Oryctolagus cuniculus: one gene and its partner. The protein of the gene in region 1 purifies or fractionates together with the protein of each later gene. This does not show direct contact. Links are inferred from orthologs where the notes say so. Each region holds a gene or a part of one and is shown in the gene's direction. Other genes may lie near its edges.

Region 1 (5,602 bases):
TTCGTGTACATTAGCAGGGAGCTGGCATCGGATGTAGAGCCAGGGACTCAAACCCAGGCATCCCGAGTGACAACCACTGTGCCGAATGCCCACTCCTGGCCTTTGGTTTCTGAAGGGACTGCTGGAGCGTCTCGAGGGTCCTGTTGACCCTCAGGATTGGTGAGAAGGTCATCCATGTGTCTGTGGCTGCTGGTGCCCAGTGGTTTAGATCAGAGTAGGGTGGAGTAGGTTTGGGGTCTTCCTGGTGGTCGCACCATGGTTCCAGTTTGAGGAGCTGACCTTGGGTTCTCACTCCCAATATTTTCCTTGGGATGTTTATTGCGGGCTACCTTGATTATTTTTTTTTTTTTCCAGTGTTTTAATGTATGAGACATTAGGTCCAGATTGGAGGTCTTTTCTGTCGTACCTGTTTGTGTCCTTTGTGCCTGGACTGGGGTATTCTCCCTTAGCTTGCTGGCATTTCAGCTGATGGGTCTCTGTTCTCCCACATCCGTATTTTAGGTGGCAAGACATAGTGATTGGAGCCCCACAGTATTTTGATAGAGATGGAGAAGTTGGAGGTGCAGTGTATGTCTACATTAACCAGCAAGGCAGATGGAATAACGTCAAGCCAATTCGTCTTAACGGAACCAAAGATTCTATGTTCGGCATTGCGGTAAAAAATATTGGAGATATTAATCAAGATGGCTACCCAGGTAGATACAAGATGATGAAATGGTTATGATTTACAGATTGAAATTTTGGTTGTTATAATAATGAATGCTTTCCGGTGTCTTATTTTAAAGCATTGGAGTATTTTCAAAATGTAATGTTTATGAAAATGTGTTGTCAACAGACATTGCAGTTGGAGCGCCTTATGATGATATGGGAAAGGTTTTTATCTATCATGGGTCTGCAAGTGGAATAAATACCAAACCAACACAGGTAATCAAATAACCTGATTTCTACAGCTTGTCTCAGTTTTTAGCCTGTAATAGATATTTAGGTGGAAATGAGTTATCATACTGATTTTGTTTTATTCACAAGTCTACAAGTATGAATTTTGCCTTTTAAAAAGTGTATTACTGGAAGATAGCTCTAAAATAGATATATAATTGCAATGTCTTGCTTGTTTTAATTGTAAAATTTCTTTGGTAAGTTGGGAATCAAAGTCATTCAAACACAAGACTGCCCTCGTCTGACAGTATAAAGACATGGAAAAGGTGTGTATGGGTACTTCCAAAAGCTCATGGAAACACGAAATTAAACGATCACTCTGTTTTGGTGCATAAAAGCGCAGCCCTACTCATTTGAGGGCGAGGATGGAAAGTCCTGGAAGACTGTTGAGATGGGGTTGTACGAGCAGAGACCTCACGCACATCAGGTGTGCTCTCCATGATCTTTGGAAGTGCCCTCATCTTTCCCTCAGTAGCAAAGTAAGCAGAAGTGAAACTGGACAAGCACGTGGAGAATTCAGACCCCCACGTTTTTAAATTGCTTTTGAGAAAAGTGAGACTTGGGGACTAGAGAGGAGAGGTTTGATTAGAAATACCTTGGTTAATTTAATGCATTAAACTCATCAAAGAATGGCTCCTCTGTCCTTTGAGATACTGTGTAAATCGGGTGAAATAGAATGTCTGAAATGTTAGATCCTATGAGTACTTGTAATTTAATATAATTTAGCTACATGTGAACTCCTGAACGTCCATTCAGAAGAAAGTTGTGAGTCTTTCGGAGCATAGATGAGAAGTTCCTTTTGGTGTGCCCGTGCTCATCTGATGCACTGTTTTATTTCAGATTCTCGAGGGGACGACACCGTATTTTGGATATTCAATTGCTGGAGATATGGACCTTGATAGAAATTCCTATCCTGATGTTGCTGTTGGTTCCCTCTCGGATACTGTAACTATTTTCAGGTGTGTTATTTCAGACCTCAGTTAAGTATGTTCAGTTATCAGATTACCTTGACATTTTGACCTTTTGGATTGAAATTTGTAACATCTGCATTTCAAAGGCAAAGACTTACATGTGTTTGGAAGATATTTCATTTCTTTTGAGGGCAGTATAACAACATAGTAACACGTATGCTTTTTGACATTTTTATTTGCCTTCCTTTTTATTTGAGAGACAGAGAGATCCTCTGTTTGCTGGTTCACTTCCCAAATGCCTTCAACAGCTGGGGCTGGGCGAGGCAGAAGCCTCTGTGTGGGTCTCCCACACGGATGGCAGGGACTCAAGTACTTGAGCCATCATCATGTATGCTTCCCGGGGTGTGCGTTATGGGGAAGCTGGATTGAAAACAGAATAACCAGCACTTGAACCTCGTATGGGAAATGGGTATCCCAAGCAGTCATTTAAAAAAAAGCTGCTGTGTCACGTACAACTGCCGTGGTTGGTTTTCTCTTCACTGGCTTTATAGTCATTTCTTAAAGAATATGTTAAAGAAGCGGGCAGTAGCACAGTGAAACTGTTTTCCAGGTGTGCCTGTTAACACTCCTTGCCCTGTAGTCTTCCAGAATGGTGTCAGGTGTAGAGGTAGCCTCAGTATTTAAAATACCCTCACATCAACCCTGGGGCTTAGAAACCAGCCCCAGGACACTTCTGAAGAGAATATTACGTGATAGTAAATGACGAAAGTTGTTTTAGATATGAAAGCCATCCTGTATGAAAAACTGAGACACACAGAGGAAGCTACAGATGGCAAAATTAGGAGATATGAAAATCACAGGGAAGAGTGTATTTGAGATGCTACTGACAGTGTCCGGGGAACCACCAAAGCTGAGTAAACCAAAGTGCATGGACCCGTGTGTCTGTGATTTGGAGAGGAAGGAGCTTGGGGAAGCAGGGATGCATCCTCGTGCTCCTGGTGACGTCCTCCCCGAGTGCTGTGAGCCTCTCAACCTCCTGAGCCCTTGTAGCAGGCTGTTGCTGTGCTGTGTGTGCTTCTGGGCTAAGGCATCCAACAGTGGGCTGTCCGGTGTTCTGAGACACTGTCTTTAGATGCATGTTTCTCTGCTGATGCAGTTATCAACCTTAAAGTAGTTCAACAATTTTAAAAGGTGGAAGAATATATAACAATCAGCTATTTTAGCAAGAACGTCAATCAAAAAACAATGTGAAAAAAAATTTTGAAGGTGTAGTTCTAGTTTGATGGTTAGTTCAACTATTAACAAAACTTGACTTCTTATACCAAAATCTGGTTACCAAGTTTTCAACACCAACAGATGAGAGACTGACCTTTTTTTTTTTTTTTTTTTAAGATTTATTTTATTTATTTGAAAGGCAGAGTTAGAGACAGGGAGAAGGGAGAGAGAGAGAGAGCTATTTCCTGTCCACCAGTTCCCTCCCCATATGGCTGCAACAGCCAGGACTGGGCCAGGCTGGAGCCAGGAGCCTAGAACTCCATCTCCCACGTGTGCAGCAGGGGCCCAAGCACTAGGGCCATCCTCTACTGCTTTCCCAGACACATTAGCAGGGAGCTGGATCAGACTTGGAGCAGCTGGAATATGAACTGGCCCCTATGTGGGATGCCAATGTTGCTAGTGGTGGCTTAACCCACTATGCCCCTATGACCTACCTTTCATCAGTTAAATATTTGCCTGTGTCCATGTGTAATTGATATTTTGATAGTCTTGTTGCCATGTGTAATTGATATTTTGATAGTCTGTTGATAGTACTTTAATTTCCTGTCGTCATAAGCGGGTGGACTGTGAACCCAGCAAACTTGTTCCTCCTTTCCTCATGGACCTTAGAAAAGTGAATTTCAATATCCTTTGATAGCGAGAGGCGTCTGAGCCTCCTTATTTCACAGCTGAGGAAGCTGTGGCCGGCCTCACTTGAGCTTTCAGGCTGGATTCTGTCGTCCTGGGCATTTCTCCCACGAAATCCTCCTAGGACTTAAGGACACTTAGTAGATATATACCAGGTAAACATGAGGCAGCCAAGCCAGTAAGATTTGCTTTATGTGTCGAGACACACTTTTCATGATTCACGTGTTCTGTGCCTTCACAATTGTGTGTGTTAAATAAGGTAGACAGGAATGGTATATTAAATGGAATTCATGACACGCATTAAAGCATTAATAAGATGACACATGAAACATTACATCTGGGGCAACTGATTGTAAAATACTTGGGAGAGCTGCAGTGGATTAGGCAATGGCCCGGGACTCCGGCATCCCATTTGAGTGCCAGTTCAAGTCCTGGCTACTCCACTTCTGATCCAGCTCCTGTTAACAAGCCTGGGAGGCAGCACACGGTAGTTCATGTACCTGAATTCCTACCTGCCACATGGGAGACCATAATGGAGTTCCTGGCTCCTGGCCTCAGCTTGGTCCAGCCCCAGCTGTTGAGGCCATTTGGGGAGTGAACCAGCAGATGGAAAATCTCTGTCTCTCTGCCTTAATAAAAATAAATAAATGGGTTTTTTTATTTTTAAGAAGAGGGTACTTGTGAATGTTTGCCTTTTAAATATGTGCATGCTCTCAAAACTTTAGCGTGTACAAAGGATCTTCAAAATGTTCATGTAAACTGCTTATGAAAAAACTGTGCATGAATTTCAAGATTTCTTGCCTGAAAAATACACTTGAAAATGTCCATGAACTTTGGAAGGAAACTTGTATGTAGTTAATATCTTTGAAAGTGGCATCTGTCTAAATATAAAACAAAAGTAGAGAGGTAAACAGTGGAGCTAGAGAGCACGCAGAAACCTGCCCTTTATCATGAAGGGGCTTGTGCCCACTAGCCCACCAACAGATTGATTCCACAAGTTTGAGCTGACTGTTTGGGATTTGGAGTGCATTTTCCTACAAAAGCATGGTTCTCTGGTATGGTTGGGCTTCCCACAAGCCCCCCAGTGTCAGCCTAACTGACTGCGCATGGTAGTGGAATCCTAGAGCCCGTTCTGAATTCCGACCTGGGAGTGCTGGAGGGGAGAGCTGAGGCAGCACCTCCCAGCCCTCCCCCAGCTCCCATCCACAGGCTTGCGGAGGTCAGGCCGGTGGCCCCTGCCAGCCCTTTGCAGAAGCCGGGGAGAATTCTCCAGGGAGAGAAGAGGTGTTCTCACAGAGTAAGCGGGCTAAGGGTGTGAGACTCCTGCTGGTTAAGTGTTTGCAGGGTTGGGGTAGGCAGAGCACAGAGGGGACAAGGGTAAGGGATGCGAGTTCTTGTTATAGACACTATGAGGATGGGTCAGTTCTGGCAGCAGGGGGACAGGGGCTTATGGCTGGGAGAAGGGAGATTTGCAGGAACCATCCACATTGCTGATAATCACCCTGACAGCAGCCCAGGCAACTGGTGTGTTTTGGTGTAAGTCTTTCGGGGTGTAGTTTGGCAAGATCACTCTAATTAAAAATGTACACATTCTTTGGCTCAGAAATTGTGCTAGAAATCTGTCCTACAGGCAGTGTGTACATACATATACATCGAGAGAGAGTTTTCAGACGAGCAGAAAGCCTAGTGTCAATGTCTACTGATTAGGTGCTGGTTAAATAAAGGATGTGCCATTGCTACAAGGCAACACCACCAGGTGCAAAAGACACTAGATCTGTGTGCATAGATAGGAGGTGACCTCTGAAATATTAATGAGAAAAAAGCAGTTTTCAGAACAATAAGCATATAAACAG
Region 2 (6,327 bases), on another chromosome or scaffold:
GGACGCCCTGCAGCCACACCACAGGCGTGGCCCCAGAGCACCCGCGGGAGGGGAGCCCCGCGCACGGCACACGCGCCTTCGCCGTCCTGGGCGCAGGGGAGGGTGGGGCTGGCCAGTGGGGAGCCCCGCGCGCGCCTTCGCCGTCCTGGGCGCAGGGGAGGGTGGGGCTGGCCAGTGGCACTCGGCGCTCCAGCTCCTGTCCCCACCCGCTCCCTCTAGGCAGCGCGCTGTGCGCGGGCTCTGGGCCAGGCTGCAGCGCGAGCGGCCGGAGCTGCTGGGCTCTTTCGAGGACGTGCTGATGAGTGCGACTGCCTGCCTGGAGGAGGCGGCCCGGGAGCGCGACGGCCTGGAGCAGGCGCTGCGGCGGTGAGGGCTGGGAGCCGGGCGGAGGGGCTCCCGGGAGCAGCCGGGCGCGGGGGCCGCAGCGCCCGCAGGTTCTCATCTGCTGTCCGGCCCGACCCCGAAGGCGGGAAAGAGAGCACGAGAGGGAGGTGCGCTGTCTGTACGAGGAGCTGGAGCAGCAGCTTCGCCAGCAGCGCCAGCGCCTTCGCACGCAGGTGGGCGCGCGCCCCGTCCCCCCCCCCCCCCGGGTCCCCGACACACCTGCTGGGCTTCCCGCGTCGCCCCGCCCCGCCCCGCCCACCGCGCACCACGTGGCCAGCGGAGGCTCAGGTGCCCGCGCGTTCCAGAACCCGCCGCGGGAGGAGTGGAGGGGCCGCCTGGAGGTGGAGCTGCAGAGCTGCGAGCAGGAGCTGGAGCGCGCGGGGCTGCGGCAGCGGGAGGTGAGCGCGCAGCCCTCGCCCCTCCCCAGCGCTCCTGGCCCTGCCGAGGTCCCGGGCCCCGGAACGGGCGGGCGCGGCTCCCCGGGAAGCGGCGGGCCTTCCTCGCCAGCCTCCGCCCCCGACACCCGCAGCTGGAGCAGCAGTTGCAGGCCCGCGTCGCGGAGCAGCTGGAGGCGCAGGCCCAGAACGCCCAGCTGTGGCGCGCCCACGAGGCGCTGCGGGCGCAGCTCGAGGGGGCGCAGGAGCAGCTTCGCAGGCTGGAGGGCGACGCGCGGGGTCGCCAGGAGCAAACGCAGAGGTGCGGCGGGCGGGGCAGGCGCGGCCCCGGCCCGGGCCACTTCCACCCCCCAGGGCCTGCGGGGCAGGGGAGGGGTCTCCCCAGCGGTCCGCCGCATCCAGGCCGCCCCTCCCCGCCCGCAGAGACGTGGTCGCGGTGTCCAGGAACATGCAGAAGGAGAAACGCAGCCTGCTGCGGCAGCTGGAGCTGCTCAGGTGCGGGCGGGCGCCACGCAGCCCCGGCCCCTCCGGGAGGGCAGGGACCCCTCCGACCTCGCCTTCTGCCTTCCCCAGGGAGCTGAACACGCGGCTCCGCGACGCGAGGGACGCCTGTGAGGCCCGGCTGCTGGGCCCCGGCCGCAGGAAGGCCCCGGCCACCGCCTGCCCGCCCGGGCCCACGCTGGGCGGCTGGACTCGTCCCCCCAGACGTGGCTCCGGCCACCTTCCCAGTGCACGCTGACCGGCCCGAGCCACGCACAGGGCGTTAGCGGGACAGGGCGCGCCTTGAAGCCCTGCGGGCGCAGGGGCCGAGTAGGGGTTGGGGGGCAGTGGGGCGTCTTCCTCCTGTCCGCATCGGTGTCCAGCGGGGAAAAATCATAAAAACTGCCAAATAAAGTCCAGGGACTGCACTGCCTCGTCCTCGGCGTCGTGCAAGTGCGCGGTACCTGTGCGGGGCACGTGGCCCTGGTGCGGGGCGGGGGGCTTCCGGCCGTGGGTCGTCACCCGAGCCCTCACCGTCCCTTCCGTGGGACCTGGCGGCCAGTGGAGGTTCCCACGCTCACCAGCCAACCCCGAGTGCGTTTCCCGGCACGCAGCCCTGCCAACCGAACTGACAGACTGACAGACCCCCGGGGGTGGGGGCCCAGACGCACCGGCGCGAAGCCCCCTCACCCTCCCCCGCCCCGGGCCGGCCTCGGTTCTGCCGACGCGGGGAGGCCGCCGGATCTCGCCGCTGTCGGGGACCTCCGCGCGGTGGTCTCTGCCTCCTTTCCAGCCCCTCCGCAGCCCCGCTTCCCTCCGCCGAGGCCCGCACTTCGCGAAGCCGGCTCAGACCTGCCTGGCGCTGTCTGCGGGCCGCGGGCGTGGCCCCGTCCAGGGGGCGGGGCCCGGCGCCGCGGGCGTGGCCGCAGCTCGTGTCGGGGGCGGGGCGTCTCGCCAGCGGCCCCTGCCGCGCATTCTCCGCTGGAACCGCCGCCCCCGCAGCGCCGCAGCCCGGGCCGACTCCGACGCGTGGCCGGTGAGTGCGCGGCCGAGCCGGGCCGAACGAGCGAAGCCGATGGCCCGCAGCCCCTGCGCGCCTGGTCGCGGGGCCCGGCGTTTGCGCGCGGGAGGCTACGCCCGCCGGACGCGGCCGCAGGCCCTTCCGGGGGAGCCCGGCGCCAGGCGGTCGGGGTGGGGGAGGCGCCTCCCGAACCCTGGGACTGGCGGGCGTCCCCGCCGTGCGCGGAGCCCTGAAACTCCCAGCCCGAGCGCCCCACGCAGTGTCTCCGACCCCGGCCCCTTCCCTCCGCCCGCAGGCCCACCCCTGCCCTGTGCATATGGGCGGGCCCCGGCCCCAGCGGTGACCTCACCGCAGACTGCGCCCGAACCCGCCAGCTGCGGAGCCCCGGAGCCCCCGCACTGGGGCGCGGGAGAGGCCCGGGACGGCTCTGCGCGCGGCCGCTGTATCTATTTCTGGCCACCCAGGCTCCCACGCTCCTGTCCCCGGGGGCTCACGGCCACCAGCCGTCCCTGGAGGGGCCGCCCTGCCTGGCCGGGTGGCGGGGATCCGGTCCAACCCCAGTAGCCTCACAAAGCCTGGGGCCTCTGAGTCAGCCCCAGGGGCACAGCTGTGCGTGGCCCCGGGAGTTGATGCGGGGAGTCTGAGTTCCCCAGCGGCGTGGGTGGAACTTGGGGGGTTGTGCCCCGCTAGCTGCTCTTTCGTGGGCGGAGGGCATGGGTGGGGCGAAGCCCCTCCCAGGATCGGACTGTCCGAATGCCTTTTCTGCCCCACCCTTGTCCAGACAAAAATACCGGGCCTGGCCACTGCTGGCCAGTTTTCCCGGGGGCCCTGGCCACGGCCTTGGTGGCTAGGAGGCTGGGGCAGGGTTCTGCCTGTCCGCAGGAGCCAGGCCAGTAACCTGTTACCTGCCCTGCAGCCCAGCTTCTTGGGAACTTCCGCCCACCTGTCCCAGAGACGTTGTTCCCGCCGCAGGTGAGTGCTGGGCGGGGCAGGAGGTGAAAGTGCAGCTGGGCTGCCCGTCTGCAAACCTGGCCCCGGGCGCCAGCCCCAGTCTGCGCCCGCAGGCCTCTCCCGGTGCCCCCCCAGCCCCAGTCTGCGCCCGCAGGCCTCTCCCAGTGCCCCCCAGCCCCAGTCTGCGCCCGCAGGCCTCTCCCAGTGCCCCCCAGCCCCAGTCTGCGCCCCCCAAGCCCCAGTCTGCGCCCGCAGGCCTCTCCCGGTGCCCCCCCAGCCCCAGTCTGCGCCCGCAGGCCTCTCCCAGTGCCCCCCCAGCCCCAGTCTGCGCCCGCAGGCCTCTCCCAGTGCCCCCCAGCCCCAGTCTGCACCCGCAGGCCTCTCCCAGTGCCCCCCAGCCCCAGTCTGCGCCCGCAGGCCTCTCCCAGTGCCCCCCAGCCCCAGTCTGCACCCGCAGGCCTCTCCCAGTGCCCCCCAGCCCCAGTCTGCGCCCGCAGGCCTCTCCCAGTGCCCCCCCACGGGGGGGGAACACCTGCCCTTCTGCTGACCCTCCAGCTCCTGCGCCTCGGTGAGGGTGGGCAGAGCCCTGTCCCCCGCCCCTGGGGTGCCTCTGCGGGCCCCTGTCCTGGGCCTGCAGCCCGCGGTGGGGCCGCGGGCAGGAGTGAGTCAGCAGGAGCCCTTGCCGGGTCCTGGGCTCCTGAGCCCTTCTCCCTGGGAAGTGACTCATGTCCTGTCTGCCCCCTGCGCCCGGGCATCTCCGGGTCCCCCGGCCAGGCGTGTGCCCGGGCCTCCGACCTCCCCCGCCAGCCCCAGGATGGGCGAGTTCAGCGAGAAGAAGGCCACGTGTGGCACCGTCTGCCTCAAGTACCTGCTCTTCACCTACAACTGCTGCTTCTGGGTGAGCAGGGGGGGCTGCCCGCGCCACCCGCCCCCCGCGCCCGGCCCCGGCCCGGCCTGACCCGGCACGCTGTCCGCAGCTGGCCGGCCTGGCCGTCATGGCCGTGGGGGTCTGGACGCTGGCCCTCAAGAGTGACTACATCAGCCTGCTGGCCTCCAGCACGTACCTGGCCACAGCCTACATCCTGGTGGTGGCCGGCGTCGTGGTCATGGTTACTGGCGTGCTTGGCTGCTGCGCCACCTTCAAGGAGCGGAGGAACCTGCTGCGCCTGGTCAGCGGTGGGGCCCCTGGGGGTGGGGTGGGGGGCTGCGCCCGTGGGGTCCGCCCAGAACGGGGGTGTCTGTCCCCTAGTACTTCCTCTTGCTGCTGCTCATCTTCCTGCTGGAGATCATCGCGGGCATCCTGGCCTACGTCTACTACCAGCAGGTGAGGGCTGGGGGGGGCAAGGCAGCGCCGCGGCTCACAGCGGGCCTGGGGGGGCGGGGGGCAGGCGTCCGGCCCCGCCCCCGCCCCCCCGCCTGACCTGGAAGAGCTGCCCCCCCCAGCTGAACGCAGAGCTGAAGGAGAACCTCAAGGGCACCATGACCAGGCAGTACCGGCAGCCAGGCCACGAGGGAGTGACCAGCGCGGTGGACAAGCTGCAGCAGGAGGTGGGTGGGGCCCAGGGGGGGCCTGGTGGCCGGGGCGGGCGTGGCGGCTCAGCCGACCCTGCTCTCGGCCCTGCAGTTCCACTGCTGCGGCAGCAACAGCTCGCGGGACTGGCGGGAGAGCGAGTGGATCCGCTCGAGCGAGGCCGGGGACCGCGTGGTCCCTGACAGCTGCTGCAAGACCGTGGTGCCCAACTGCGGGCAGCGGGACCACGCCTCCAACATCTACAAGGTGGAGGTAGGCGGGCCCGGATTGCCGAGCGGGACCACGCCCCGTCTGCCAGGTGGAGGTGGGCGGGGCTCCGGCCCCGGCCCCGCCCCTAGCACCTGTCCCCACCCCCAGGGCGGCTGCATCACCAAGCTGGAGACCTTCATCCAGGAGCACCTGCGGGTCATCGGCGCGGTGGGCGTGGGCATCGCGTGTGTGCAGGTGCGGGCCTGCCGGGCCGTGGTGGGGGACGCGGCCGCGGCCCTGGCGCCCGCTCACAGCCCGGCTCCGCAGGTCTTCGGCATGTTCTTCACTTGCTGCCTGTACCGGAGCCTGAAGCTGGAGCACTACTGAGGGGGCCTGGCCTCCCCGCCTCGCTGCTGAGTGGACACTACTGACGCCGGAGGAAGCCACGCCCCCGTCACACCCATACCCGGACCCCCACCGCGCCGGCCACGCCCCGTCACTGCTCGGCTGTCTGGGGGCTTGGGCTCCCTGCCACCCACTACTGACCCACAGGAAGCCACGCCCCGGACCCCCACCACACCCCAGTGCCTTTCGCTGCTCAGCTTTCTGCTTGGGGGGCCTGGGCTCCGGCACCCCACTGCGGAGTGGAGACTACTGACCCTGAGGAAGCCACGCCTCTGCCCCCACCCGTGCCAGCCTCTCACACCCAGAGGCGGCCAAGTGCCTTTCACTGTACAGCTTTCTGCGGGGGGGGGGGGGGGGCGGCTCCAGCAGCGCCCCCTCCCACAGTCTTGGGGGACCCTTGGACGCCTGTGTTGGGTCTGGAGTGCGCCTGCCCAGCCCAAGCCCCCTCCTCTGCCCCCTCCCCCAGGAGGTCCCTGTGTGGGGCCGGGGGCCTGCTGCACCCCAGTCTGTCACGTGACGGGCTTAATAAAGTGCGTGGAGTGGACAGTGAAGCTCCTGCCTCAGGCACGCGCAGGCTAGCAGGGGTGGACCCGGCTCGCAGGCTGGGCGGGGGCACCGCTGGGGGCCGGTGTGAGGGGCTCCGCCTGAGCGTAGGGGTGCTGGCGTCTCCAGCTGGCCCTGGGCCCACTGTGGTCACTGTGGCACAGGCAGTGAGCAGACGAGGGGCCTGCAGGTCCTGCCAGGAGCCGGGGACAGCTCTGCGATGCGGCCAACACCCTGGGGACAGCAGTGGCTCGGCCACCATGGCCCTGCTCTGCCCTGGTCCCCGTCCCCAGCTGACCGCGGGCTCGGCCCCGTGTGGGTTGCTGGGAGTAGCTGCTCCCTGGCCCTCAGCCTGGGCCCGCAGGGACAGCCCGGGAAGGGCCCCCGGGAGCCTGAGGGCGCTCAGGGCTGGTGCGACCCCGACAGGG

The links.
Region 2: the proteins of ITGA6 (region 1) and CD151 purify together in Homo sapiens (co-immunoprecipitation; 3 studies listed by BioGRID and IntAct, with this or other methods). This does not show direct contact. The link is inferred for Oryctolagus cuniculus from reciprocal best matches to the Homo sapiens genes ITGA6 and CD151.

What each region holds. Positions count from the first base shown.
Region 1 is NC_091434.1:68,626,140-68,631,741, reverse strand, and holds part of ITGA6 (integrin alpha-6), read left to right. Parts: intron 1-501; coding exon 502-695; intron 696-835; coding exon 836-924; intron 925-1,776; coding exon 1,777-1,895; intron 1,896-5,602. UniProt on the Homo sapiens protein: Integrin alpha-6/beta-1 (ITGA6:ITGB1) is a receptor for laminin on platelets. Integrin alpha-6/beta-1 (ITGA6:ITGB1) is present in oocytes and is involved in sperm-egg fusion.
Region 2 is NC_091432.1:347,573-353,899, forward strand, and holds CD151 (CD151 antigen), read left to right. Parts: upstream 1-2,141; 5' UTR 2,142-2,295; intron 2,296-3,196; 5' UTR 3,197-3,252; intron 3,253-4,005; exon of another isoform or gene 4,006-4,038; 5' UTR 4,039-4,045; coding exon 4,046-4,129; intron 4,130-4,208; coding exon 4,209-4,400; intron 4,401-4,480; coding exon 4,481-4,555; intron 4,556-4,674; coding exon 4,675-4,779; intron 4,780-4,855; coding exon 4,856-5,014; intron 5,015-5,119; coding exon 5,120-5,206; intron 5,207-5,278; coding exon 5,279-5,338; 3' UTR 5,339-5,900; downstream 5,901-6,327. Other genes in the region: CRACR2B (EF-hand calcium-binding domain-containing protein 4A), read left to right, coding at 220-366, 467-557, 690-782, 914-1,080, 1,203-1,274, 1,353-1,518. UniProt on the Homo sapiens protein: Structural component of specialized membrane microdomains known as tetraspanin-enriched microdomains (TERMs), which act as platforms for receptor clustering and signaling.